Linked DNA regions of Saccharomyces cerevisiae S288C. The protein of the gene in region 2 purifies or fractionates together with the protein of the main gene of each other region. This does not show direct contact. Each region holds a gene or a part of one and is shown on either strand. Other genes may lie near its edges. The genes, in order: SRO9 and HAP1.

Region 1 (11,113 bases), on a different chromosome or scaffold from region 2:
CTTACCGTTGTATACTACAGGCTCGTCCATGGCGGAGGGCAAGTAAATAGAAAGCTTGAAATCATCGTCTGCGTTTTCAGCGGAGACAAAGTCGTAGTCGTTGAAGTGTTTGTTGGCCATGGAGTAAAAGGTGGCGTTGAAGTCGGCGTCAATCTTACCGGATTGGACGATAACTGGAGTGACAAAAGTCTCGTTAGCAAGGTAAGCTGGTAGATCAGCAACAACGGCGACAGCCGGTTGGCTTTGCTTGATCATGAATTGGACAATGGCCTCGGCAGTTCTAGGTCCCTCGTAATCGATCGAGTTGTTAACATCGCTGTTTTTGAAAATCTTCAAGCTTGGGAACCCTGGAATGTTGTGTTCCATACACAGATCCTGGTTTTCAGTACAGTCGATCTGGGCCAAGGTAATGTTTTTCTCAACTAAAGTCTCGGCGGCTTTAACGTATTCAGGAGCCATGTTCTTACAGTGGCCACACCATGGAGCAAAAAACTCCGCAAGCACCAAGTCGTGCGACTGAATGTACTCATTGAAGGAGTCGGTGGCCAACTTAACGACAGCGGAGTCTTCAGGGGCCACAGCCTCTTGTTGGGCGAAAACAGAGGAGGCGAGCAGCAGGGAGGACCATGACAGGACGGCACCAGCAGAAAACTTCATAACGGGATAGATGTATGTTTTTCTTTATGTAGAGCTTGGCAGCTTTAAAATTACCAATTAGACATGCTGCTTGCAACAAGAAAATGCACGCGTAACAAAATATATATATATATATATATATATATGTATGTCCATACGGGTTTTTCGTTTTGTTGTGGTTGTAACAGCACAACAAAATGCTACACGGTGGCAAATTGGAAAAAGAGACTAGTGAGAGAAAAGGGAAAAAGAGGCGCCGCCCGACAGGGTAACATATTATCACGTGCAGCCCAGGATAATTTTCAGGACACGTGTTTCGAAAGGTTTGTCGCTCCGAAAAAATCAAAAAAAACAAAAAACGGGAAATAACAATAACGACAAAAATGGAAAAAAAAAAAATTTTAGACGCGGCGCTTGCACCCCGCATTATAAGTGGTGTGCCGACGGACGGTCAACCCCTTTCAGGGGGCCCCCTATCTTGGGCGTGGTGTCACACCACGCTCAAACGGTGGGCACTAATGAAAACGCGCCCATATAAATATCCGCTATCAACAGAACCCCCAACCCCCCCATCAGTGCCCAACTCAGCTTCCGTAAACCACAACACCACCACTAATACAACTCTATCATACACAAGATGTCATTCGACGACTTACACAAAGCCACTGAGAGAGCGGTCATCCAGGCCGTGGACCAGATCTGCGACGATTTCGAGGTTACCCCCGAGAAGCTGGACGAATTAACTGCTTACTTCATCGAACAAATGGAAAAAGGTCTAGCTCCACCAAAGGAAGGCCACACATTGGCCTCGGACAAAGGTCTTCCTATGATTCCGGCGTTCGTCACCGGGTCACCCAACGGGACGGAGCGCGGTGTTTTACTAGCCGCCGACCTGGGTGGTACCAATTTCCGTATATGTTCTGTTAACTTGCATGGAGATCATACTTTCTCCATGGAGCAAATGAAGTCCAAGATTCCCGATGATTTGCTAGACGATGAGAACGTCACATCTGACGACCTGTTTGGGTTTCTAGCACGTCGTACACTGGCCTTTATGAAGAAGTATCACCCGGACGAGTTGGCCAAGGGTAAAGACGCCAAGCCCATGAAACTGGGGTTCACTTTCTCATACCCTGTAGACCAGACCTCTCTAAACTCCGGGACATTGATCCGTTGGACCAAGGGTTTCCGCATCGCGGACACCGTCGGAAAGGATGTCGTGCAATTGTACCAGGAGCAATTAAGCGCTCAGGGTATGCCTATGATCAAGGTTGTTGCATTAACCAACGACACCGTCGGAACGTACCTATCGCATTGCTACACGTCCGATAACACGGACTCAATGACGTCCGGAGAAATCTCGGAGCCGGTCATCGGATGTATTTTCGGTACCGGTACCAATGGGTGCTATATGGAGGAGATCAACAAGATCACGAAGTTGCCACAGGAGTTGCGTGACAAGTTGATAAAGGAGGGTAAGACACACATGATCATCAATGTCGAATGGGGGTCCTTCGATAATGAGCTCAAGCACTTGCCTACTACTAAGTATGACGTCGTAATTGACCAGAAACTGTCAACGAACCCGGGATTTCACTTGTTTGAAAAACGTGTCTCAGGGATGTTCTTGGGTGAGGTGTTGCGTAACATTTTAGTGGACTTGCACTCGCAAGGCTTGCTTTTGCAACAGTACAGGTCCAAGGAACAACTTCCTCGCCACTTGACTACACCTTTCCAGTTGTCATCCGAAGTGCTGTCGCATATTGAAATTGACGACTCGACAGGTCTACGTGAAACAGAGTTGTCATTATTACAGAGTCTCAGACTGCCCACCACTCCAACAGAGCGTGTTCAAATTCAAAAATTGGTGCGCGCGATTTCTAGGAGATCTGCGTATTTAGCCGCCGTGCCGCTTGCCGCGATATTGATCAAGACAAATGCTTTGAACAAGAGATATCATGGTGAAGTCGAGATCGGTTGTGATGGTTCCGTTGTGGAATACTACCCCGGTTTCAGATCTATGCTGAGACACGCCTTAGCCTTGTCACCCTTGGGTGCCGAGGGTGAGAGGAAGGTGCACTTGAAGATTGCCAAGGATGGTTCCGGAGTGGGTGCCGCCTTGTGTGCGCTTGTAGCATGATCTTTTTACATTTTTTTGGTTTGTGTACGTATCCCACCGTACTTACCATCTTCTCTCCTTTATATATATATATATATATGTATATTTTCAGTGTATATACATACATTCTTATACAATACCGTATAAGAACGTATGTATGTATGTATGATTTTCTCACATTAATGAACAATATCATCGGAAACGGGCCTTTGGTTTTTAAGGGAAAATGAAGAACAATAAATGCCTTGCTAGGTCTTCCTTTATCATTTTTGGAAGTCAAATATGAAAAACACTTCCAAGGGGGCGTACTACTTCAACTAATAAAATGTCACACACTAATAAGATCGCATACGTGTTGAACAATGACACGGAGGAAACAGCCTCGCCCTCTTCCGTTGGTTGTTTTGACAAGAAACAGCTCACTAAATTACTGATACATACTCTAAAGGAGCTGGGCTACGACTCCGCCGCTAACCAGTTACTGCTAGAGAGCGGCGGATATCAAAATGAGTCTAACCACATCCAGACTTTCTTCAAACTCATCAAGACCGGCCAATTCCATCTTATTAATTGGCAGATTGTTTGCTCGCTGCCCCTTGCCCATAGCTCTCCGCTAAGGTCCGAATGGCTTCAAAGGCTGCTCATTCCCACGCCGACGCCCGCCACGACTTCACTTTTCGACCACATGCTCCTGCAACTGCAATACCTGCAACAGCTGATGAGCTCTGTAAATTCATCTACTTGTTCGGACGCAGAGATCGCCACGCTCAGAAATTACGTAGAGATCATGATTCTAGTTAATAGACAAATATTCCTCGAATTCTTCCATCCAGTCACAAATTCCGCCTCTCACAAGGGCCCTCACACTGCACTGCCCGTCCTGTATTTGCGCAAAATCCTCAAAAACTTCATCGAGATATGGGATTCCCTGCTGGTGTCTAACGATCAGTTCCTAAATGAAGAAAACATCTTCAATCCGGAAACGACCTTGAGAGAACTGTCGACGTACCTGACCAACCCAAAACTAACCGCGCAGTTGAACCTCGAGCGAGACCATCTGATTGACGCCATCTCCAAATATATCGATCCGAACGAACTCGTTCCCAAGGGTCGTCTCTTGCATCTCTTGAAACAGGCCATCAAGTATCAACAATCACAAGACATTTTTAATATCATCGATCCGGATGATGACGCCTCTTTCTCCTCTCCACCCCACCGGATCAACCTTTTGCAGGATAACTTCTCACACGATCTGACTGTGACCTTTCAAGAATGGAAGACTATCCAAGACACCACAGACGAAATTTGGTTTTTGACATTTTCGCCCAATGGCAAGTATTTGGCTTCTGCGACTTCCGAGTCTTCAAGAGGCTACTTCATTACTGTTTATGATGTGGAACAAGACTTCAAAATTTATAAGACTTGCGTGAGCTTGTCACAATCCGTATTGTACCTCATGTTTTCTCCTGATAGCCGGTATCTGGTTGCTTGCCCTTTCAGCGAAGATGTTACCATTTACGACATGAATGCCACCTCCCTGCCCGATGCGTCTGCCACAGACTCGTTCCTACTATACCCTTCTACCAGGCTCTCGCCCATGGACTCGTTTAAACTGGACACCACCACGTACCCAGATGATACCGAATCATCAGCATCATCTTCCTCGAGGCCGGCAAACGCGAATTCTAATCAATCAAGAGTATGGTGCTGCGATGCCTTCCACACTGCGGAACGTGCGGGCTGGATGGTGGTTGGATCGCCCGACAGAGAAGCTATTGTACACTCACTCACCACGAAAGAGTCACTTTTTAGCTTAAAAGGCAGGACTTGTATCGCGTTGGGCCACGATGAAAACATCTCTGGGAGAAAATCAATCGATCCTGCAAAAGTCCTTTACAAACCAACAAGTAGCAATGGTAACTGGCAATATGTGGAGGACGACGAAACCTTTCCACGTGTGCACGACGTGAAAATCAGCTATGACGATAAATACGTGCTTTTAATGACCCACCAGGGCGTTATAGATGTCTACGATTTCAGTGGGTTCCCCTCCAAAGAGGAGCTATCTAAGCAAACAGTGGATCCCAAAAACTTTCTGATTCCAAGGATCGCAAGATTGGACGTGGGCAAAAACATGACTTGTATCTCATTACCGCTAAATACCACGCATCAAGGCTTCCATAGGCAACAAATATCCGAGTCTCAACATTTGGTATTAGTTAGCCTTCAAGATAACGAATTACAAATGTGGGACTATAAAGAAAATATTCTCATACAAAAGTACTTTGGACAGAAGCAACAGCACTTTATTATCAGATCTTGCTTCGCCTACGGTAATAAGCTTGTCATGAGCGGATCAGAAGATGGTAAAATTTACATTTGGGATAGAATTAGAGGTAACCTAGTATCTGTTTTATCCGGTCATTCCACGGTAATGAGTAATTCCACAAAACCCATGGGGAAAAATTGTAACGTAGTTGCATCAAACCCTGCAGATAAAGAAATGTTTGCTTCTGGCGGTGATGACGGTAAGATAAAAATCTGGAAAATTTCAAGAAATTAATACTCCACCTTATATATATACGTAAGCAAAGTTTTATGTAACAAAAAAAAAAAAAGAACTAATCCAACCTTCTTTCACTTTCAGGTAAAACTTGACTGAGTTCTTCAGCCTCTCTTCTACCTCTCTTGACATCCAAACAGTTTAGCACAGGCAATGATAGCATCAAAAGCAAAAAGAAGAAATAAAACGAATAGCGAATATTATGCGTTTTATCGGTAAGCAGTCCAACAAGGAAGGGTCCCAGGATGGACGACCCCTTATCTGTGATACTGAACATACTAAAAAACGTGGATTCTTTTCCTGGAGGTACAATCAAACTGAAAACTGATCTTGAAACCGCGGACAGGCCACCTAGTGATAATCCATACCAAATGGCCAATAAGAACATTTCAAACTTATGCTTTAAACCGAACGCATTGAAGAAAAATCCAAGAATACCATAAAATGGTATGAAACTTGCCCAAATGATAATGTACATCAAAGTTTGACTAGAAGTCCACCGAAACTTTGTGGCAAGAAATTGTGGAATCATAAAGGCACCCAGCATTGCATTTACAACGGTCAAAACACTTATCATGATTAAATTGAGGGTACTCATGTGCAGTTCTGCCTTGGAGAACAAAACCGCTGTAGAATTTATAGTTGTAATGGAATCACTAATAATAAACCACGCAATAAGAAAAATCATCACATCTTTCAATAGTCTGGCATGTTTAAACGATTCGAAAAGCGAAACCCAACCATATGAAAGGTAATTCTTCCAGTTTAGTTGACCCAAGGCGTCTTGCTCACCGGGATACGGACTGCGGGCGGATGCTAATGTAGAATCGTCAACTCTTATCGGTATTGTCACATCGTCAATCAACCAGATCATGGGCAGTTGCCACACAAACCACCAAATCCCAACGAAAAGAACAGCCACTTGAACATCCTGCTTACTGCCCTTTTTAGATGCGACTAAGAACATAGATACAATCTGAACAATGAGGGCACTTGAATAACCTAAAGATGCACCTCTACCGCTAATAACAGTAGTTAACGAGTCTACCTTATCAGGTTCATAAGCTCCTTGACTTTGACATTTCAAAGAATCCTTGACAAAAATGGGCAGAAGAGAATTCCCAACAACATTGATAACGCCAAAACAACCATTGGCCACTATATAAAGCCCAGCCAGAGAATAAATCTGGGTATCATTCAATTTTGAAATCGCAACAGTCGACAATGCGCCCACAATACCAAACCAAACCAGAATTCTGCCTTTGAATTTAACGCTCCCCCAGAGATCTACTATCCCTGAAACGGAAATGACTATTATAGTTTGGAATAAAACGCTAAGGGAAAAGACATATAATGCAAAACTTGAAGTATCTACGAAGATCCGATTGTTGAACAAACCAAGAACACACTTATCTGAATCACTACCCGTTTCTGACAGGCAGGGTATGGAGTGATCGTGAACTTTTACACCATTTATACTCGCAAATTGCTGCAGTAGTAAGGGAATATACGTTGAAACCGCAGAAACGACAAATGGTTCGCTAGAAAATGAGTAAGCGTACCATCCCTTGATATTGTTTTGGGCTTTTTTTATTCGATAGTTCGTTACCGATTCATTCATATCATTTATAGTTCCATAGCTCATATCTAATGTAGAGAATATGTTATGAGCAAACTATTGCTTATAAGGGCAAAAACCGTGGTAATATAGGTACAGTTTGAAATCTTTCCTTTTGTTTACACTACGCATCTTTCAATAGCTGAGGTATTTTCGTTTAGGAAAATACCGTTTTAAGGAATTAATTTTAGCAATTTCCTAAAATTGTTGAGCGGCGCTATCAATGCCGCACAATACAACAATTAATAATCTAAGACACGTTGCATTATACATGACAGAAGCTAAAGCATGGTCTTAGATGACAATAAAAAGGAATTTGACAGCACAAAAGAGAAAAAAAAAACTATACATAAAATTTTTTACATATGAATTGCTTAGAGTAAAATAGGCATTTTTCATATCTTCTTCCCAATTATTAAATTAGCAAAAAATTGAATAAAAAAAGCAGGTGGTTTAAGAATTGCGCAGGGAGAAGAAAGAATATCATATCTCATGATGGTAGCCACTTAGACAGAGAGAAAACGAAGTGAGAAGAGGCTAGTATTTTTATATCTTAAAAAAAAAAAAAAACAAAAAAAAAAAAACATAAATATTTGTATCTTATTGCTTATGATGATAATGTACAATGAATTCAAAACATGAAAATTGTTCAAAGTTTTTATTTTTATTTTCTCTTTCGTATTAAACTGATGGAACAAATGAAAAAAATGGATAAAAAAACAAAAAAAAAAAAAAAAACAAAAAAAAAACAGCTTTGCTGGAGGATGATTAACTTTTAATTTTTTTAATTATTAGGTTTTTCAATTTTTTATGGTTTTTTGTGTAAAATGCAATGAACGAATCCATTTTTTATTTTGCAAGTGTGAGAGGCCTTTATAAGGAAGACTCGGATTCACCGGCAGCAACCGGCGCAGAGTCTTCTTTGGTTTCTTGTTCTTGAGAAGCGAGTTCAGTGGATGATTCCTCTTCTTGTTGAGGAACAGGTGGTAGGGATATCATGAATTGGTCCAATGCATCGCCGACCAGTTCTTTTTCAATATTAATTTCAGTTTCAAAAGTTTCTGGTAACCAGTTTGACCAGCTCTTGGAACGAACGAAGTACTTATCCAATGGAGATGGTTCTTTGGCTTCACCGGTAACGTTATCACCTTCCTTGGCGGCCAAAGTACCTTCTGCAACATTGACGGTAGCGGCTTCGTTAGCGACAATTTCTCTCAATGCGGCTAAAATCAGGTTAGTGTCACCTCCGAAGGACATGTTAACAACTCTGTAAAACTTAGAGATTAAAGACAATGGAGCAAAACCATCCTTGGAGAGTTTGGACCTTAAGTAATTGTCGACGGTCAAGTTTTCTTCGCTGAAATAGTATTCAATTTGTCTAGCAATGTTGTTGATGGCCATTAACACTGGTTGGACTGGATAAAACTGTTGCTGTAATTTGACCATAGGTTGTTGAGGATGTTGTTGGTTGTGATGGAAGTGGTTGTGGTATTTAGAGCGGTTGTTGTTGTTATTACGAGCGTTGCGTCCTTGGTAAGGTTTAAACTGTGGTGGGAAGCCTTGGTTCTGAGGCATACCGGCGTTATTACTGTTGTGGAACTTTCTCCTTTGAGGACCATTGCTGTTATGGTGATGACTGTGGTGATGATTACGGTGGTGAGGTGGTTGTTGCTGTTGTGTAGATTGACCATTTTCTTGAGAGGTAGCGTCTTTTGAATCTTCCTCACCTACTGCCGATTCAAAGCCATCTTTCTTCATTTGTTGTTGCTTCTTAGCATTATGTTGGTGATGCTTCTTTTTCCTGTTAGCATTACTCGACGATGTCGACGATGCTGCAGTTTTGTTGTTTTTGCTCTTGTTGCTGTTGCCATTACTTGCACCATTCTTGGAACCGGATCTTTTGGTGCCAGAGACGGTAATGGAGGCCTTGATGGGAACCCACTTGGTAGCAGTCGATGATTTCGGAGTGGGTGTTCTGTTCTTCTTCTTTCTTGTGGCATCCAAGTCTTCTATTGAGATAGTAGAAACAGGGATCTCAGTAGGAGCAAGTTTCCATGGGGAAGATGTGGGCAATGGTGCCGGCGTCAAGTTGACTTGCTTGCTCTTGGAGCTCTCTTGTTCTTGCACTTCTGGGACTGGGGCAGTAGCAGTGTTTGCGGCGGCGGTTTCAGCAGACATCGTGGGCAGAGAAGTGAAAAGAAGATGAAACACGTTAGCAGGTCCAGAGTAATCCTGATGTTCTATTACCGATCTAGGATCCCAAAAGATCTTCATAAAACCGAAAAAGATGTTAAGAAATGTTTACACTTGTACTTTTCTTTCTTTGTTCTTGACCTACCAGAAGTGAAAAAAATTTTTCATTGCGTGGGTACATCCGTGCACCATTTCTGAAAAATTTGCGATGAGCATCCCTCAAAATCCGTATTATCCGCTAGTGTTTTGAGGTTCAACAAGACAACATATAAGAAGGGAAGAAGGAAAGGAGGCAATGAGAACTTGGGTCTTGCTCGAGAGTCCAGATCCACATGCAGGTTCAAAAAATGGTGAGAGATAACAGTAATAACGGTAGCGATAAAAGCGTCCATTGGGAGAGGAGGAATAATAACGGCGCAGGCCCCCGTTATCGTTCCAGAAGCGGTAATACCGGTGCTTTGGCAACAAAACTAAGTAATGGGACGCTCTCTGTCAGAGGATTAGTGAAGGACCGAACAGGAAGCGGCAAGATCGCGGGCTGTGTGGAGGCGTTTCTGGATGCCAGGACCCAATTGAATACGCCCTGGGACCGTGCTAAGTGCAATTGGCTGGACCAGATAGATTACTATGTACAGTTGAGAAAGACCGCGTTTTCTAAGGAATTGGACCAACTAAGGAAGCCCATGATCGATGCATATGTGGCGGAGATGAGGCAGAAGTTTGATGCCTCCTATGGACAATCCAGGGCGCAATTGGAAGCCAAACTGGCGCAGGTGGACAGTGAATGGCATATGGTACATGGTGATGTGCATGCAAAACTGGAAAAACTCGTGGAAGAACGCCGGTTTTTGAAAAGATTAAGCGACACGATCGTACCACCCAGGTCCAAAAGATCACAGCGGCTGTCTCCATTGACCAAAGAGGACCGAGCCAACTGTATCTGTCCGCAGCCCAAAGGAATGAGCGACACCGCTTGGTTCGAAGCCATTCAGAAGAAAATGTTAGGAATGAATGGTACCATCAAGCTCCTAGAGACAGAACAGAAACTACTGGCTGACGAGAAAAACAGCGTGAGGAAGACGTTCTGGCCCATGGTGGAAGCACATTCACGCTCGAATGAATTTGCTTATCTGGAGAAATGCATCAGGCTGATGGCCTCTCAGAGAGCAATATGCTTTTGTCTTGATATAGAGGCTTTCGAAACAAACCAGAACGTAATCACCGAAATTGGGATTTCAATTTATGACCCCAGGGAAAATATGGTGCCGTCAATGGTTCCAATTACAAAGAATTACCACCTAATTATCGAGGAGTCCCTGGAACTTAGAAACCAAAAATGGGTCTGTGACTACAAGGATTGCTACTTATTGGGAGAAAGCTATGTTTTGAGCTTGAAAGAGTGCGTGCATTTCATTCAATCACTAATAAACTATTACTTGGTCCCGGTGACCGAAGAAGACAAGACATGGTCAAGGGCATTTGTTGGTCATCACGTGAGCGGGGATCTTAAGTGGCTGGAGACTATTGGTGTCAAATTCCCTGGCAGAGGGTATGAAGGCCATCTGGACCATACGCTGCTTTTGGCTGAAACTCCCGGTGATCTAGACGTGTTCATCTTGGACACTGAGCAGTTTTACAGGAAATCGTATGGCGAAAAGGGCAGCAGTCTGGGCAAGATTCTGCGGTTGTTCGAGATACCGCATGCGTTTCTACACAATGCCGGTAACGATGCCTACTATACCCTGCATTTGTTCATGAAGTTTTGCGATGTTAATTTCAGGAAAATAAGCGGCATGGACGATGTTCTTAAAGTAATGGGCCAAGTAAAAGTTTGGGGAGAACGAGACGTACGAGAGCCTAAAGTGGTGCCCATGTCGTATGCCATCTCCATCGAGGAGGCAGTCAAAAATCGGACGTACCGCAAGGGCGTCAAGAGCAGTAGGAAGGAAAGAGTCTGCCAAACGGAATTCGGTGGGTTAACGTA
Region 2 (19,066 bases):
AAGGTGCTGGTCCAAGAATCGAAAAGAAGGAAGACGAAGAAGATAAATTCGATGCTATGGGTAACAAGATTGCCGGTGGTAAGAAGAAGAAGAAGTTGTCTTCTGCGGAATTGAGAAAGAAGAAGAAGGAAAGAATGAAGAAGAAGAAGGAATTGGGTGATGCTTACGTTTCTTCTGACGAAGAATTCTAATCTTTTTGATCACTGCTTTCACAGTTTTCTTTAAGATTTTTATTGATCAATAATTTATGTATATTTTAATTTCTATGTTTTTGTAATATTGTTTATTTTGGTAAAATATAGACGCAACTTCCTTATTATAAAGAAAGGCATTATTTAAAAGAAAAAGCGTTCCATTAGTCAGACATCTTTTTTTTTCATACATTCTTAAGCTCAGGCAAATTGAGCATTGCCTCATACCCTTTTCGGTAAGAGGGTAACGAAAATATTTTTTTGGAAGAATAAAAATAGGTGACGGATCATAGACTAGGAAGCTTTAAAACATGATTGAGCGTAATATTATATTCCTTCTAGAAAAGATAAAAGAGCCAAGACCTAAAATTTTTTCATCCCTGTTCTATTAAAATTGTGGAAATGAGGTTTTTGAGGGGATTTGTATTTTCTTTGGCTTTCACTCTATATAAAGTAACTGCCACGGCAGAAATAGGATCTGAAATTAATGTGGAAAATGAGGCACCACCTGATGGTTTATCCTGGGAGGAGTGGCATATGGACCATGAGCATCAGCTAAAAGATTACACTCCAGAGACTTTCTTCGCGTTACATGATATCAAGAAGAAAGGATTTTTAGATGAAAACGATATTCTATCTCTCTACGGGTTGAACCGTGAAGAAATTGTGGGGGCTGGTGATGGTATGGGACAACACGATGAATCTGAGAAAATTGACAATGAAATGGCTAAGCGTGTTGTTAGCCTTATTATGAGGTTATTGGATGTTGATGATAATACCAAAATCACCAAGGAGGAATATCTACAATTTGCTAAGAGAGGAAACAAGTTCCCTGACCTTGGCGTTGGTGTAGGTCACCACTCCGATTTTGAGCTAGAATATGAAATTCATCACTGGAATAAGTTTCATAAGGACAAAGATCCAGACGTTAAAGTCGTTCACAAAGAAGACATAGAACATGAATTGCTTCATCATGAACATGAAATTGAACATGAAGAAGAAATTCAAAGAGGCGCTTCTAGAGCTACTGTAATAACTGATGACGAACTAGAGTCTAGAATAGAGCTGAAAAATATTCCCGAGAAATTCAAAAATGGAATTTTTTAATGGACTTGGTCAAGATGAATAGTTGAGACTGAGAAAATATTCAAGACACTATGTATGTAGTCAATTAGCATGTAGTAAGTAATCAAAGCACTTAAAATATATTTTTACCATCGCATCGTTGTGATGCCTCTCCTTTGTGATTAACTATCTACTTTAAACGTTCTATTTTCTATGTTCTAATTACGTATGTATTGGTCTTTTCTCTCCGATGGTAACAAGAAGCGTTTCGGGAAACAGTGGCACCTCCTTGTCCCTTAAATGTCGAACTTTAACAGTATAAGTACAAAGTGAAAAAAAAAAAAAAATGGAAATATCTATGATAGTGATATGATAGAAGAGCTATTTGAATGCTATGTTGTCATATTTAGCCTTACAAAAGGGAAAAGGCAAACACAGTCTTTTGTTATTACTATAGGAAAGATAGAATTGATATTAAAACAGTATGAAGTTATTGCATTTATATGAAGCGAGCTTGAAGAGAAGGCCCAAAACTACGAATGCGATAATGACAGGTGCGCTATTTGGAATTGGTGATGTTTCTGCTCAATTGTTGTTTCCAACATCCAAAGTAAACAAGGGTTATGATTATAAAAGGACAGCTAGGGCTGTCATCTATGGTTCTTTAATTTTCTCCTTTATAGGTGACAAGTGGTACAAGATCTTGAACAACAAGATTTATATGCGTAACAGACCTCAGTACCACTGGTCTAATATGGTTTTACGGGTAGCTGTCGATCAATTGGCGTTTGCGCCGCTAGGTTTGCCATTTTATTTCACCTGTATGTCCATCATGGAAGGTAGATCATTTGACGTAGCTAAGTTGAAAATAAAAGAGCAATGGTGGCCTACACTTTTGACTAATTGGGCAGTTTGGCCACTTTTCCAAGCGATTAACTTTTCTGTTGTTCCTTTACAACATAGGTTACTAGCTGTTAATGTCGTTGCAATATTTTGGAACACTTACTTATCTTATAAAAACTCAAAGGTTATGGAGAAAGACAAGGTACCTGTTCATTATCCACCCGTGGTCGAATAACTGGATAAGAAATCCTGATTTTGAAAATATTTGGAATTCAACTAGCATATTTATCAGACCTTGTTCCTTGGGGTACTGGAACAGCATATACCTAATAGACTTTCGGCAGAGAGCAGACCAACTTCATAAATATTTGAGTCACCAAAGTTGGCTAGCAATCTGCTTTTCCTTTACAGATGTGCTTGGTCAGGAACAATTTATTTAATTACATTCGTACTTCTTTTATAGAGGAAATAGTAGCTAACATTTCACTATTGCGGTCATGCCTGTTGTTCTTCAGCTACCGTTTATGCAAAGGTGTTTAATTAGGTGTGAGACTTAAGTGGGCCTTTTAGTACCACTGTGGGTTCTGGACCTTTATATAATATTTCATTTTTTCAAAGGTTTTTTCATATGCCGTTAAAAGAGGTCAAAACATAGACCCGAGGAACATATCTTGTAAATCGCTGCGTTATGTATGCATATTGTACTCCTACCTTCGTAACTGGAAAGAATCAGTCTGAAAGTTTATTGAGCCTGAAACGGAGCAAGATTATAGTTGAATGTTTCTTATTCGGTGTTGATAGTAGATGATGACCAAAGCTTTTTTTAACAAACTACCGTTTGAGGTATTCCGTCGGTACGTTAGGACAGGTAAAAGCATCCCTCAAAGAAGCCCCAGGACAAGAAAATCTCTTCTGGTGGGTGGGACTATTGCATCAGCAGTAGTTTTGTACAACTTTAATGACACTTTTCATGATTCTGTAAAGCACACGGCACTGACGACTAAAAGAATCGCTGTCGTCACACAAGCTACCACTCGTTGCTTCTACCATTACAAGAGGGCTCTAAATAAAAGCTATGAGAACAAAAAAGAACGAGAAGTTGCCTTAAATAAATGTCATAAGATGTGTGCCTTAATCACGTTGCATGCGCTACGATCGAATGGTGGGATATATATCAAATTAGGCCAGCACATTGGGGCCATGACCTACCTGTTGCCTAAAGAATGGACGGATACAATGATACCGTTGCAAGACCACTGTCCCGAATCCACCTACGAAGAAATTGATGAGTTATTTAAAGAAGATCTAGGCACCAGCATTGAGGATATGTTTTTAGAATTCAACAAAACCCCGATAGGTGTAGCTTCCTTGGCACAGGTTCATGTGGCAAAACTAAAAAATAGTGACGGTAAAGGTTCTAGTGTAGCTGTCAAATGTCAGCATCCATCGTTGAAGGAGTTTATACCATTAGATGTTATGCTGACAAGAACAGTGTTTGAACTGCTGGATGTCTTCTTCCCTGATTATCCGTTAACGTGGCTTGGTGATGAGCTTCAGTCTTCAATCTACGTGGAACTGAATTTTACCAAAGAAGCTGAAAATGCAGAAAAAACCCGTCATTATTTTAGTAAGTTCAAGAAGCAAACAGCATTGAAAATACCCAAGGTCATTGAAAGCCACAAAAGAATTTTGATTATGGAATATGTTGGAGGCAAAAGGTTGGATGATTTGGAGTACATTGACAGTCACGGTATCTCGCGCAGTGAAGTTTCGAGTTGTCTCTCTCATATTTTCAATAACATGATTTTTACTCCCAATGTAGGTATTCATTGTGATCCTCATGGAGGAAATCTGGCCATACGATCTGTTAAGCCCGCTAAAGATAATGGATACCATAACTTTGAAATTGTTTTATTTGACCACGGACTCTATAGATATCCTAGCACGAGAACAAGAAGACTTTATGCCAAATTTTGGTTGTCGCTCCTATTCGACAAGGACCAGACAAAAATGAAGAAGTATGCCAAAGGATTCGCAAACATCACCGACGAACAGTTTCCCCTTTTAGCGGCTGCAATTACGGGCCGTAGCATTGATGCTGCTTTGAATTACGACATTTCAACGAGTCGAACACAAGAAGAAATGGACGTCATGGCAAATGGGATCTTGGAAGGAACGTTACTGAGCGACTTGATGAGCATTTTGTCTAGAATCCCTCGTGTAGTGCTTTTGATATTGAAGACTAACGACCTAACCAGACATCTTGATGAATGTCTACAGAATCCACTCGGGCCAGAGAGGACTTTCCTGATCATGACGCAATACTGCGCCAAGACGGTCTACGACGAAAAAGTGGAAAGAATTAATTCGGAGTATGCGAGGTGGTCTATTAAATGGATGTGGGAGAACTTGACAAACTGGATAGTCTATGAGAGGCGTATTAATCAATTGTATTTTTATGATTTTGTGTTGTGGTGGAAAAAATTTATTCCGAAGACTTGGTTGTCATCTTAAATCGTTAGCGTTCTTTCTACTTGTAAATATATACGTAAAATTATATATAACAATTTTATATGTGTCATTAAACGGAAGACGTTGTTGCTATCACAGTGGATTGTGTTATTTGGGTATTTGGAATATTACAGTGACTTCTTGCAGCGTTGTTAGTTTTTGCCATGTTCTGCAAGTACAAGGTTGAAGATGTGGTCGAGACTTTGATAGTATCCTTAAACAACTTCATTTTTTTATTTTGACTGGGTAACGACCTGGTGTTCCTTCTAGTCTCACCGCTAGTGGCTTCTTCTTTGCTGACTCTTAACTTTTGCAGCGCCTCTTTGGTGTCGAGTAACTCGTGTTCCAGTAGAACGTTGCGTTCCAGTCGTCGGTCACTCTCCAATTGTAATGTCTCTATCTTATTCCTCAGTTGGATATTTTCATTTTCCAACTCATCTACCTGTATCTCTAAATCTGTTATCTGTTTCTTATTGCACTTATTTTGTTGTTGGCTCTCAAGAAGATCGCTTTTTAACTTTGATATTACTTGTTCCAAATCATTTTCATATTCTTTCGTGGCGCCTTCAAGCTCGCTCAACTGGGTCTCCAGTGAGGAGATTATCTGTATAGCTGTTTCCAAATCCAAATTCGGCACCATAGGAAAGTCGCAATTGTTGCACGTATATGTCCCTTGGATATTCCAATTAAATTTGCGAGGATTGTTCTTTCGGCCGTTCGTGGTTTGTTGTAGCCCTTATTATCCCTCTTTTTCATCCTTAATTGCAAATTTATGTATGAAAACTTTCATTTCTAATGTTATTAATTTTCCCGATTCTGCAAACTAATTGATAAAATAATTGATACTTGCCGTCACAGATGATATAGAGAACGTTCAGTTTTTTTATTGTTCTATTGTAAAAAAAAAAAAAAAAGGAAGAAAAAAGCAAGATCCGATAGGAGAAGACCTCTTTAGCGGCTTTACTGCGCTACAAATAAGGTTACGAATATGCGGAATAGTTCATGATACGTTGTTGAGTTATAGTATGTAGCCAATATTTCCTGTTTTTCCGCTGTTACCCTTTTCGAAGGATCGATGAACGCTTCTGTCACTTAGTAAGCAAATGTACGAAACCCAGAGCATTGTATGTACACCAGCAGTCGTTTTTTGTAGCTCTTTTCCATGGATGGACGATGATGGCAAGACGCGATCGTGGCGGAGCCTCACTAAGAAAAACAATTGTGGAGAATCTATACACACAGAAATCGTACTTCAAGAAATATTGATTAGCGAGCCTTTAAGCACAGAACAATCTCTATAGCCAACATCTTGTGGAAGCTACAACTGTTTTTCTTGTTCCCGCTTGAGTAGGGCCTTACAAGGCAAGACCGTATAAAATAAAGATAACTCCTCCGCCGTATCCTGAATTTCGTGTGCCCTTTCTCTCTCTCTCTCTTCCTCTTTCTTCCTTTCCCTTTCCCTCTTCTTCTTATCTCAACAACCGCCCAGCGCATTAGCAAACCACAGTACGAGCTGTACGGCTGAGCCACTGCACCTGTCTGGCTTGCCCCTTTTTGTTGAGTAACCGGGTAATAATTCGGCTGTCTAAACGATACAATCCTCGTTCCACCCACACCCATTCACCCGTCGGGCGAAATCCACCCTCGCGGCCTCGTTTAGAATACCAGGCAACGGCACCAGCAACGGCCCCGGTAACTCGATCGCGTTCATATATATCGGATATACTCTTGAGGCACAATTTTTTTCGGTTTTCGGTTTTTTCTATTATTCTTCGAGATGCAAAGCACACATTTGAGACTCACAACTCAAGATACCGCAAGCACACAGACGCTATTGTTCTCCCAAAGAATAGGTTCCTGCAGTGCTCTTTTAAGGTTTGAAGATATTGCACAAAATTGTATCTGATTTCATCTCATCGAACCTCATTCCATCAACTTCCTTTTATCAAAGCATCTTGTTTTGTTTTCGCAGAAAATTTTTCTTCCCTTTCAATTTGGCCTTTTAGTTTTTCTCCAGTCGCAGGCAAGAAGGTAAGGAAATAGAAGAAAAAGAAAAAAAAAAAAAGGGAACAATAGGTTAGATGTCGAATACCCCTTATAATTCATCTGTGCCTTCCATTGCATCCATGACCCAGTCTTCGGTCTCAAGAAGTCCTAACATGCATACAGCAACTACGCCCGGTGCCAACACCAGCTCTAACTCTCCACCCTTGCACATGTCTTCAGATTCGTCCAAGATCAAGAGGAAGCGTAACAGAATTCCGCTCAGTTGCACCATTTGTCGGAAAAGGAAAGTCAAATGTGACAAACTCAGACCACACTGCCAGCAGTGCACTAAAACTGGGGTAGCCCATCTCTGCCACTACATGGAACAGACCTGGGCAGAAGAGGCAGAGAAAGAATTGCTGAAGGACAACGAATTAAAGAAGCTTAGGGAGCGCGTAAAATCTTTAGAAAAGACTCTTTCTAAGGTGCACTCTTCTCCTTCGTCTAACTCCTTGAAAAGTTACAACACTCCCGAGAGCAGCAACCTGTTTATGGGTAGCGATGAACACACCACCCTTGTTAATGCAAATACAGGCTCTGCTTCCTCTGCCTCGCATATGCATCAGCAACAACAGCAACAGCAGCAACAGGAACAACAACAAGACTTTTCCAGAAGTGCGAACGCCAACGCGAATTCCTCGTCCCTTTCTATCTCAAATAAATATGACAACGATGAGCTGGACTTAACTAAGGACTTTGATCTTTTGCATATCAAAAGTAACGGAACCATCCACTTAGGTGCCACCCACTGGTTGTCTATCATGAAAGGTGACCCGTACCTAAAACTTTTGTGGGGTCATATCTTCGCTATGAGGGAAAAGTTAAATGAATGGTACTACCAAAAAAATTCGTACTCTAAGCTGAAGTCAAGCAAATGTCCCATCAATCACGCGCAAGCGCCGCCTTCTGCCGCTGCCGCCGCTACCAGAAAATGTCCTGTTGATCACTCCGCGTTTTCGTCTGGCATGGTGGCCCCAAAGGAGGAGACTCCTCTTCCTAGGAAATGTCCAGTTGACCACACCATGTTCTCTTCGGGAATGATTCCTCCCAGAGAGGACACTTCGTCCCAGAAGAGGTGTCCCGTTGACCACACCATGTATTCCGCAGGAATGATGCCGCCCAAGGACGAGACACCTTCCCCATTTTCCACTAAAGCTATGATAGACCATAACAAGCATACAATGAATCCGCCTCAGTCAAAATGTCCTGTGGACCATAGAAACTATATGAAGGATTATCCCTCTGACATGGCAAATTCTTCTTCGAACCCGGCAAGTCGTTGCCCCATTGACCATTCAAGCATGAAAAATACAGCGGCCTTACCAGCTTCAACGCACAATACCATCCCACACCACCAACCACAGTCCGGATCTCATGCTCGTTCGCATCCCGCACAAAGCAGGAAACATGATTCCTACATGACAGAATCTGAAGTCCTCGCAACACTTTGTGAGATGTTGCCACCAAAGCGCGTCATCGCATTATTCATCGAGAAATTCTTCAAACATTTATACCCTGCCATTCCAATCTTAGATGAACAGAATTTCAAAAATCACGTGAATCAAATGCTTTCGTTGTCTTCGATGAATCCCACAGTTAACAACTTTGGTATGAGCATGCCATCTTCATCTACACTAGAGAACCAACCCATAACACAAATCAATCTTCCAAAACTTTCCGATTCTTGTAACTTAGGTATTCTGATAATAATCTTGAGATTGACATGGCTATCCATACCTTCTAATTCCTGCGAAGTCGACCTGGGAGAAGAAAGTGGCTCATTTTTAGTGCCCAACGAATCTAGCAATATGTCTGCATCTGCATTGACCTCGATGGCTAAAGAAGAATCACTTCTGCTAAAGCATGAGACACCGGTCGAGGCACTGGAGCTATGTCAAAAATACTTGATTAAATTCGATGAACTTTCTAGTATTTCCAATAACAACGTTAATTTAACCACGGTGCAGTTTGCCATTTTTTACAACTTCTATATGAAAAGTGCCTCTAATGATTTGACTACCTTGACAAATACCAACAACACTGGCATGGCCAATCCTGGTCACGATTCCGAGTCTCACCAGATCCTATTGTCCAATATTACTCAAATGGCCTTTAGTTGTGGGTTACACAGAGACCCTGATAATTTTCCTCAATTAAACGCTACCATTCCAGCAACCAGCCAGGACGTGTCTAACAACGGGAGCAAAAAGGCAAACCCTAGCACCAATCCAACTTTGAATAACAACATGTCTGCTGCCACTACCAACAGCAGTAGCAGATCTGGCAGTGCTGATTCAAGAAGTGGTTCTAACCCTGTGAACAAGAAGGAAAATCAGGTTAGTATCGAAAGATTTAAACACACTTGGAGGAAAATTTGGTATTACATTGTTAGCATGGATGTTAACCAATCTCTTTCCCTGGGGAGCCCTCGACTACTAAGAAATCTGAGGGATTTCAGCGATACAAAGCTACCAAGTGCGTCAAGGATTGATTATGTTCGCGATATCAAAGAGTTAATCATTGTGAAGAATTTTACTCTTTTTTTCCAAATTGATTTGTGTATTATTGCTGTATTAAATCACATTTTGAATGTTTCTTTAGCAAGAAGCGTGAGAAAATTTGAACTGGATTCATTGATTAATTTATTGAAAAATCTGACCTATGGTACTGAGAATGTCAATGATGTAGTGAGCTCCTTGATCAACAAAGGGTTATTACCAACTTCGGAAGGTGGTTCTGTAGATTCAAATAATGATGAAATTTACGGTCTACCGAAACTACCCGATATTCTAAACCATGGTCAACATAACCAAAACTTGTATGCTGATGGAAGAAATACTTCTAGTAGTGATATAGATAAGAAATTGGACCTTCCTCACGAATCTACAACGAGAGCTCTATTCTTTTCCAAGCATATGACAATTAGAATGTTGCTGTACTTATTGAACTACATTTTGTTTACTCATTATGAACCAATGGGCAGTGAAGATCCTGGTACTAATATCCTAGCTAAGGAGTACGCTCAAGAGGCATTAAATTTTGCCATGGATGGCTACAGAAACTGCATGATTTTCTTCAACAATATCAGAAACACCAATTCACTATTCGATTACATGAATGTTATCTTGTCTTACCCTTGTTTGGACATTGGACATCGTTCTTTACAATTTATCGTTTGTTTGATCCTGAGAGCTAAATGTGGCCCATTGACTGGTATGCGTGAATCATCGATCATTACTAATGGTACATCAAGTGGATTTAATAGTTCGGTAGAAGATGAGGACGTCAAAGTTAAACAAGAATCTTCTGATGAATTGAAAAAAGACGATTTCATGAAAGATGTAAATTTGGATTCAGGCGATTCATTAGCAGAGATTCTAATGTCAAGAATGCTGCTATTTCAAAAACTAACAAAACAACTATCAAAGAAGTACAACTACGCTATTCGTATGAACAAATCCACTGGATTCTTTGTCTCTTTACTAGATACACCTTCAAAGAAATCAGACTCGAAATCGGGTGGTAGTTCATTCATGTTGGGTAATTGGAAACATCCAAAGGTTTCAAACATGAGCGGATTTCTTGCTGGTGACAAAGACCAATTACAGAAATGCCCCGTGTACCAAGATGCGCTGGGGTTTGTTAGTCCAACCGGTGCTAATGAAGGTTCTGCTCCGATGCAAGGCATGTCCTTACAGGGCTCTACTGCTAGGATGGGAGGGACCCAGTTGCCACCAATTAGATCATACAAACCTATCACGTACACAAGTAGTAATCTACGTCGTATGAATGAAACGGGTGAGGCAGAAGCTAAGAGAAGAAGATTTAATGATGGCTATATTGATAATAATAGTAACAACGATATACCTAGAGGAATCAGCCCAAAACCTTCAAATGGGCTATCATCGGTGCAGCCACTATTATCGTCATTTTCCATGAACCAGCTAAACGGGGGTACCATTCCAACGGTTCCATCGTTAACCAACATTACTTCACAAATGGGAGCTTTACCATCTTTAGATAGGATCACCACTAATCAAATAAATTTGCCAGACCCATCTAGAGATGAAGCATTTGACAACTCCATCAAGCAAATGACGCCTATGACAAGTGCATTCATGAATGCTAATACTACAATTCCAAGTTCAACTTTAAACGGGAATATGAACATGAATGGAGCTGGAACTGCGAATACAGATACAAGTGCCAACGGCAGTGCTTTATCGACACTGACAAGCCCACAAGGCTCAGACTTAGCATCCAATTCTGCTACACAGTATAAACCTGACTTAGAAGACTTTTTGATGCAAAATTCTAACTTTAATGGGCTAATGATAAATCCTTCCAGTCTGGTAGAAGTTGTTGGTGGATACAACGATCCTAATAACCTTGGAAGAAATGACGCGGTTGATTTTCTACCCGTTGATAATGTTGAAATTGATGGTGTTGGAATAAAAATCAACTATCATCTACTAACTAGTATTTACGTTACTAGTATATTATCATATACGGTGTTAGAAGATGACGCAAATGATGAGAAATAGTCATCTAAATTAGTGGAAGCTGAAACGCAAGGATTGATAATGTAATAGGATCAATGAATATTAACATATAAAACGATGATAATAATATTTATAGAATTGTGTAGAATTGCAGATTCCCTTTTATGGATTCCTAAATCCTCGAGGAGAACTTCTAGTATATTCTGTATACCTAATATTATAGCCTTTATCAACAATGGAATCCCAACAATTATCTCAACACCCACACATTTCTCATGGTAGCGCCTGTGCTTCGGTTACTTCTAAGGAAGTCCACACAAATCAAGATCCGTTAGACGTTTCAGCTTCCAAAACAGAAGAATGTGAGAAGGCTTCCACTAAGGCTAACTCTCAACAGACAACAACACCTGCTTCATCAGCTGTTCCAGAGAACCCCCATCATGCCTCTCCTCAACCTGCTTCAGTACCACCTCCACAGAATGGGCCGTACCCACAGCAGTGCATGATGACCCAAAACCAAGCCAATCCATCTGGTTGGTCATTTTACGGACACCCATCTATGATTCCGTATACACCTTATCAAATGTCGCCTATGTACTTTCCACCTGGGCCACAATCACAGTTTCCGCAGTATCCATCATCAGTTGGAACGCCTCTGAGCACTCCATCACCTGAGTCAGGTAATACATTTACTGATTCATCCTCAGCGGACTCTGATATGACATCCACTAAAAAATATGTCAGACCACCACCAATGTTAACCTCACCTAATGACTTTCCAAATTGGGTTAAAACATACATCAAATTTTTACAAAACTCGAATCTCGGTGGTATTATTCCGACAGTAAACGGAAAACCCGTACGTCAGATCACTGATGATGAACTCACCTTCTTGTATAACACTTTTCAAATATTTGCTCCCTCTCAATTCCTACCTACCTGGGTCAAAGACATCCTATCCGTTGATTATACGGATATCATGAAAATTCTTTCCAAAAGTATTGAAAAAATGCAATCTGATACCCAAGAGGCAAACGACATTGTGACCCTGGCAAATTTGCAATATAATGGCAGTACACCTGCAGATGCATTTGAAACAAAAGTCACAAACATTATCGACAGACTGAACAATAATGGCATTCATATCAATAACAAGGTCGCATGCCAATTAATTATGAGAGGTCTATCTGGCGAATATAAATTTTTACGCTACACACGTCATCGACATCTAAATATGACAGTCGCTGAACTGTTCTTAGATATCCATGCTATTTATGAAGAACAACAGGGATCGAGAAACAGCAAACCTAATTACAGGAGAAATCTGAGTGATGAGAAGAATGATTCTCGCAGCTATACGAATACAACCAAACCCAAAGTTATAGCTCGGAATCCTCAAAAAACAAATAATTCGAAATCGAAAACAGCCAGGGCTCACAATGTATCCACATCTAATAACTCTCCCAGCACGGACAACGATTCCATCAGTAAATCAACTACTGAACCGATTCAATTGAACAATAAGCACGACCTTCACCTTAGGCCAGGAACTTACTGAATCTACGGTAAATCACACTAATCATTCTGATGATGAACTCCCTGGACACCTCCTTCTCGATTCAGGAGCATCACGAACCCTTATAAGATCTGCTCACCACATACACTCAGCATCATCTAATCCTGACATAAACGTAGTTGATGCTCAAAAAAGAAATATACCAATTAACGCTATTGGTGACCTACAATTTCACTTCCAGGACAACACCAAAACATCAATAAAGGTATTGCACACTCCTAACATAGCCTATGACTTACTCAGTTTGAATGAATTGGCTGCAGTAGATATCACAGCATGCTTTACCAAAAACGTCTTAGAACGGTCTGACGGCACTGTACTTGCACCTATCGTAAAATATGGAGACTTTTACTGGGTATCTAAAAAGTACTTGCTTCCATCAAATATCTCCGTACCCACCATCAATAATGTCCATACAAGTGAAAGTACACGCAAATATCCTTATCCTTTCATTCATCGAATGCTTGCGCATGCCAATGCACAGACAATTCGATACTCACTTAAAAATAACACCATCACGTATTTTAACGAATCAGATGTCGACTGGTCTAGTGCTATTGACTATCAATGTCCTGATTGTTTAATCGGCAAAAGCACCAAACACAGACATATCAAAGGTTCACGACTAAAATACCAAAATTCATACGAACCCTTTCAATACCTACATACTGACATATTTGGTCCAGTTCACAACCTACCAAATAGTGCACCATCCTATTTCATCTCATTTACTGATGAGACAACAAAATTCCGTTGGGTTTATCCATTACACGACCGTCGCGAGGACTCTATCCTCGATGTTTTTACTACGATACTAGCTTTTATTAAAAACCAGTTTCAGGCCAGTGTCTTAGTTATACAAATGGACCGTGGTTCTGAGTATACTAACAGAACTCTCCATAAATTCCTTGAAAAAAAAATGGTATAACTCCATGCTATACAACCACAGCGGATTCCCGAGCACATGGAGTCGCTGAACGGCTAAACCGTACCTTATTAGATGACTGCCGTACTCAACTGCAATGTAGTGGTTTACCGAACCATTTATGGTTCTCTGCAATCGAATTTTCTACTATTGTGAGAAATTCACTAGCTTCACCTAAAAGCAAAAAATCTGCAAGACAACATGCTGGCTTGGCAGGACTTGATATCAGTACTTTGTTACCTTTCGGTCAACCTGTTATCGTCAATGATCACAACCCTAACTCCAAAATACATCCTCGTGGCATCCCAGGCTACGCTCTACATCCGTCTCGAAACTCTTATGGATATATCATCTATCTTCCGTCCTTAAAGAAGACAGTAGATACAACTAACTATGTTATTCTTCAGGGCAAGGAATCCAGATTAGATCAATTCAATTACGACGCACTCACTTTCGATGAAGACTTAAACCGTTTAACTGCTTCATATCATTCGTTCATTGCGTCAAATGAGATCCAAGAATCCAATGATCTTAACATAGAATCTGACCATGACTTCCAATCCGACATTGAACTACATCCTGAGCAACCGAGAAATGTCCTTTCAAAAGCTGTGAGTCCAACCGATTCCACACCTCCGTCAACTCATACTGAAGATTCGAAACGTGTTTCTAAAACCAATATTCGCGCACCCAGAGAAGTTGACCCCAACATATCTGAATCTAATATTCTTCCATCAAAGAAGAGATCTAGCACCCCCCAAATTTCCAATATCGAGAGTACCGGTTCGGGTGGTATGCATAAATTAAATGTTCCTTTACTTGCTCCCATGTCCCAATCTAACACACATGAGTCGTCGCACGCCAGTAAATCTAAAGATTTCAGACACTCAGACTCGTACAGTGAAAATGAGACTAATCATACAAACGTACCAATATCCAGTACGGGTGGTACCAACAACAAAACTGTTCCGCAGATAAGTGACCAAGAGACTGAGAAAAGGATTATACACCGTTCACCTTCAATCGATGCTTCTCCACCGGAAAATAATTCATCGCACAATATTGTTCCTATCAAAACGCCAACTACTGTTTCTGAACAGAATACCGAGGAATCTATCATCGCTGATCTCCCACTCCCTGATCTACCTCCAGAATCTCCTACCGAATTCCCTGACCCATTTAAAGAACTCCCACCGATAAATTCTCGTCAAACTAATTCCAGTTTGGGTGGTATTGGTGACTCTAATGCCTATACTACTATCAACAGTAAGAAAAGATCATTAGAAGATAATGAAACTGAAATTAAGGTATCACGAGACACATGGAATACTAAGAATATGCGTAGTTTAGAACCTCCGAGATCGAAGAAACGAATTCACCTGATTGCAGCTGTAAAAGCAGTAAAATCAATCAAACCAATACGGACAACCTTACGATACGATGAGGCAATCACCTATAATAAAGATATTAAAGAAAAAGAAAAATATATCGAGGCATACCACAAAGAAGTCAATCAACTGTTGAAGATGAAAACTTGGGACACTGACGAATATTATGACAGAAAAGAAATAGACCCTAAAAGAGTAATAAACTCAATGTTTATCTTCAACAAGAAACGTGACGGTACTCATAAAGCTAGATTTGTTGCAAGAGGTGATATTCAGCATCCTGACACTTACGACTCAGGCATGCAATCCAATACCGTACATCACTATGCATTAATGACATCCCTGTCACTTGCATTAGACAATAACTACTATATTACACAATTAGACATATCTTCGGCATATTTGTATGCAGACATCAAAGAAGAATTATACATAAGACCTCCACCACATTTAGGAATGAATGATAAGTTGATACGTTTGAAGAAATCACTTTATGGATTGAAACAAAGTGGAGCGAACTGGTACGAAACTATCAAATCATACCTGATACAACAATGTGGTATGGAAGAAGTTCGTGGATGGTCATGCGTATTTAAAAACAGTCAAGTGACAATTTGTTTATTCGTAGATGATATGGTATTGTTTAGCAAAAATCTAAATTCAAACAAAAGAATTATAGAGAAGCTTAAGATGCAATACGACACCAAGATTATAAATCTAGGCGAAAGTGATGAGGAAATTCAATATGACATACTTGGCTTAGAAATCAAATATCAAAGAGGTAAATACATGAAATTAGGTATGGAAAACTCATTAACTGAGAAAATACCCAAATTAAACGTACCTTTGAATCCAAAAGGAAGAAAACTTAGCGCTCCAGGTCAACCAGGTCTTTATATAGACCAGGATGAACTAGAAATAGATGAAGATGAATACAAAGAGAAGGTACATGAAATGCAAAAGTTGATTGGTCTAGCTTCATATGTTGGATATAAATTTAGATTTGACTTACTATACTACATCAACACACTTGCTCAACATATACTATTCCCCTCTAGGCAAGTTTTAGACATGACATATGAGTTAATACAATTCATGTGGGACACTAGAGATAAACAATTAATATGGCACAAAAACAAACCTACCAAGCCAGATAATAAACTAGTCGCAATAAGCGATGCTTCATATGGTAACCAACCATATTACAAGTCACAAATTGGTAACATTTTCCTACTCAACGGAAAAGTGATTGGAGGAAAGTCGACAAAGGCTTCGTTAACATGCACTTCAACTACAGAAGCAGAAATACACGCAGTCAGTGAAGCTATACCGCTATTGAATAACCTCAGTCACCTTGTGCAAGAACTTAACAAGAAACCAATTATTAAAGGCTTACTTACTGATAGTAGATCAACGATCAGTATAATTAAGTCTACAAATGAAGAGAAATTTAGAAACAGATTTTTTGGCACAAAGGCAATGAGACTTAGAGATGAAGTATCAGGTAATAATTTATACGTATACTACATCGAGACCAAGAAGAACATTGCTGATGTGATGACAAAACCTCTTCCGATAAAAACATTTAAACTATTAACAAACAAATGGATTCATTAGATCTATTACATTATGGGTGGTATGTTGGAATAAAAATCAACTATCATCTACTAACTAGTATTTACGTTACTAGTATATTATCATATACGGTGTTAGAAGATGACGCAAATGATGAGAAATAGTCATCTAAATTAGTGGAAGCTGAAACGCAAGGATTGATAATGTAATAGGATCAATGAATATTAACATATAAAACGATGATAATAATATTTATAGAATTGTGTAGAATTGCAGATTCCCTTTTATGGATTCCTAAATCCTCGAGGAGAACTTCTAGTATATTCTGTATACCTAATATTATAGCCTTTATCAACAATGGAATCCCAACAATTATCTAATTACCCACAAATTTCTCAGATGGACTAGTAGATTTTTATAGAGCAGATTTTCCAATATGGGAGTGATGCGGTTTGTTTATGTATAAATAGAAAGGGACATATTTTTATTATTATTATTTTAGTTATTTAGCATGTATGTTATTTTATCGGTGAATTGTAATGATCGAATAATAATTGGAGGTTGAAGAAGTTGCAAAAAATATTTACTTGGACGAGTCCGGAATCGAACCGGAGACCTCTCCCATGCTAAGGGAGCGCGCTACCGACTACGCCACACGCCCAATTTTCTTGTTGTCTGTTGTGTTTCAGAATGGGGTACGTCAGTATGATAATAATCATCCTAAACGTTCTTAAATTACATATGAAACAACCTTATAGCAAAACGAACAGAATGAGCAACATGAGATGAAACTCCGCCTCCTTAACTGAACTTTCCAAACGTATAAACGCCTGAAAAATTAGTTTAGATCCGAGATTCCGCGCTTCCACCATCAAGTATGATCCATATTTTATATAATATATAAGATAAGTAACATTCCGTAAGCTGATAATCCCTTTTGGCAACTCGTTACTTCCCAAAGACTGTTTATATTAGGATTGTCAAGGGACCCCGGTATTGCTCGAGCCCGTAATACAACAGTTGTCTTTCACTGCTCTCTATGTTTTGAGACCTCCAGTTCACCACATATATTCGATCTTTTTCTTACTGTTGAAGCAAGAATCTGTTGGAATGAAGGCCTAGTATTGTCTATTGACTAATATTCATCTTACTAGTATATTATCATATACAGTGTAAGAAGATGGCATAAAGATTGAGAACCAGTCATCAGACTAATGAAAGCTGAAATGCAAGGACTGATAATGTAATGGGATAATGAAATATATAAAACGGAAGGAGAAATAACCGTGATATTATTATGTAGATTTACCGACTCCACTTGGAGGATTTCTCTATTCTCGAGGGAAACTTGGTATATTCGTACACCTAATATTATAGCTCTTGATAACAATGAAATTTCAACAATTATTCACTCAACCCTCAAGTGTATATCGCCAAGATCCTAATCACCCCTCTCTGGTGGCCTTCCCTCATTGTTTTTACACAGAACAAGAATCCATAAAATCAAGATATTGGGAACAATTCATTGTCTTAGGAACAAGTTTTTATAATTTAGTTTCATTAGCCTATTGTAACTTCTTGTTTTTTTTTTTTATTTTGGCTGGCAAAACAAGAAGTATAAAGAAGTTACCACTGCTATAACGTATATCTTAAATCAAGTGGGCAATTCTTCGAATAAACTTAGAGGCGCTGAAGAAAGAACCGCTCAATTAGTTCGATCATACAAAATACAGATATTGCGCTGTGTATTATCATTACGGAAAGTGTGATATAAACAATGCTGTGTTGTATTCGGTCTTTTTTTTCCGCCTGGAGATTGTCGTTTTTGTTTTTTTTTCTCGTGTAGCTGCAGTTATCATCGTTTTGCATGTCTGTTCTGTCGGTGAAGCCGATCTCATGGCACTTCGCTTTGATACCGTAAAGAATCTTCTTCATTAATACGGCACTGCAAGGCGATATCTATCTCTGGGGTTAGGACTGATAAATAGGTACTTATCAGTTATCACTAGAGACGAACTGTTTACGTTTTGAAGCTCGACAGCAGGGGTTCTTAACGGGCGTCGGCCTAGACCTCACCTTGCGAGAAATTTTTAGTTCATATCCAGGGGATGGTGAATGGTTGGATCTGACGAAGCCACGGTAAGGGCAAGGCTTTGCGCATGCACTGGCCACTATGCATACCATATATAAATAGATAATCAAGCGTATAGAAAACGACATGCTAAGTTATTTTACTCAGTGTTAGGTCTCTTAGTATTTGCGTCTGAAAAGATCTTAGCTCTGTCTTTGACTCTATCACTTATTTTTAAGAGGTTCTCTATTCGTCAGTGATAGAAATAGCATTTTGACCCGCACGACATTGGTTAATAAGAGTACTTTTCCACGTGTTTCGATTGCCTTTATTTTTAGCATACTTGAAAATAATATTATCGTGAGATTTAGGT

The links.
Region 1: the proteins of HAP1 (region 2) and SRO9 purify together in Saccharomyces cerevisiae (affinity purification with western blotting; 2 studies listed by BioGRID). This does not show direct contact.

The regions. Positions count from the first base shown.
Region 1 is NC_001135.5:49,565-60,677, forward strand, and holds SRO9 (Sro9p), read right to left. Parts: upstream 9,115-11,113; coding exon 7,810-9,114; downstream 1-7,809. Other genes in the region: protein disulfide isomerase PDI1, read right to left, coding at 1-657; YCL042W (uncharacterized protein), read left to right, coding at 1,020-1,379; GLK1 (glucokinase), read left to right, coding at 1,274-2,776; glucose-induced degradation complex subunit GID7, read left to right, coding at 3,081-5,318; ATG22 (Atg22p), read right to left, coding at 5,377-6,963; GFD2 (Gfd2p), read left to right, coding at 9,462-11,113. UniProt on the Saccharomyces cerevisiae protein: May overlap in function with tropomyosin and may be involved in organization of actin filaments. Acts as a multicopy suppressor of RHO3 mutation. RNA-binding protein which may modulate mRNA translation.
Region 2 is NC_001144.5:639,724-658,789, forward strand, and holds HAP1 (Hap1p), read left to right. Parts: upstream 1-6,691; coding exon 6,692-11,200; downstream 11,201-19,066. Other genes in the region: YEF3 (translation elongation factor EF-3), read left to right, coding at 1-191; nucleobindin SSP120, read left to right, coding at 594-1,298; SYM1 (ethanol metabolism protein), read left to right, coding at 1,741-2,334; CQD2 (Cqd2p), read left to right, coding at 2,904-4,613; NDL1 (Ndl1p), read right to left, coding at 4,681-5,250; YLR255C (uncharacterized protein), read right to left, coding at 5,877-6,230; YLR256W-A (gag protein), read left to right, coding at 11,394-12,716. UniProt on the Saccharomyces cerevisiae protein: Regulation of oxygen dependent gene expression. It modulates the expression of Iso-1 (CYP1) and Iso-2 (CYP3) cytochrome c.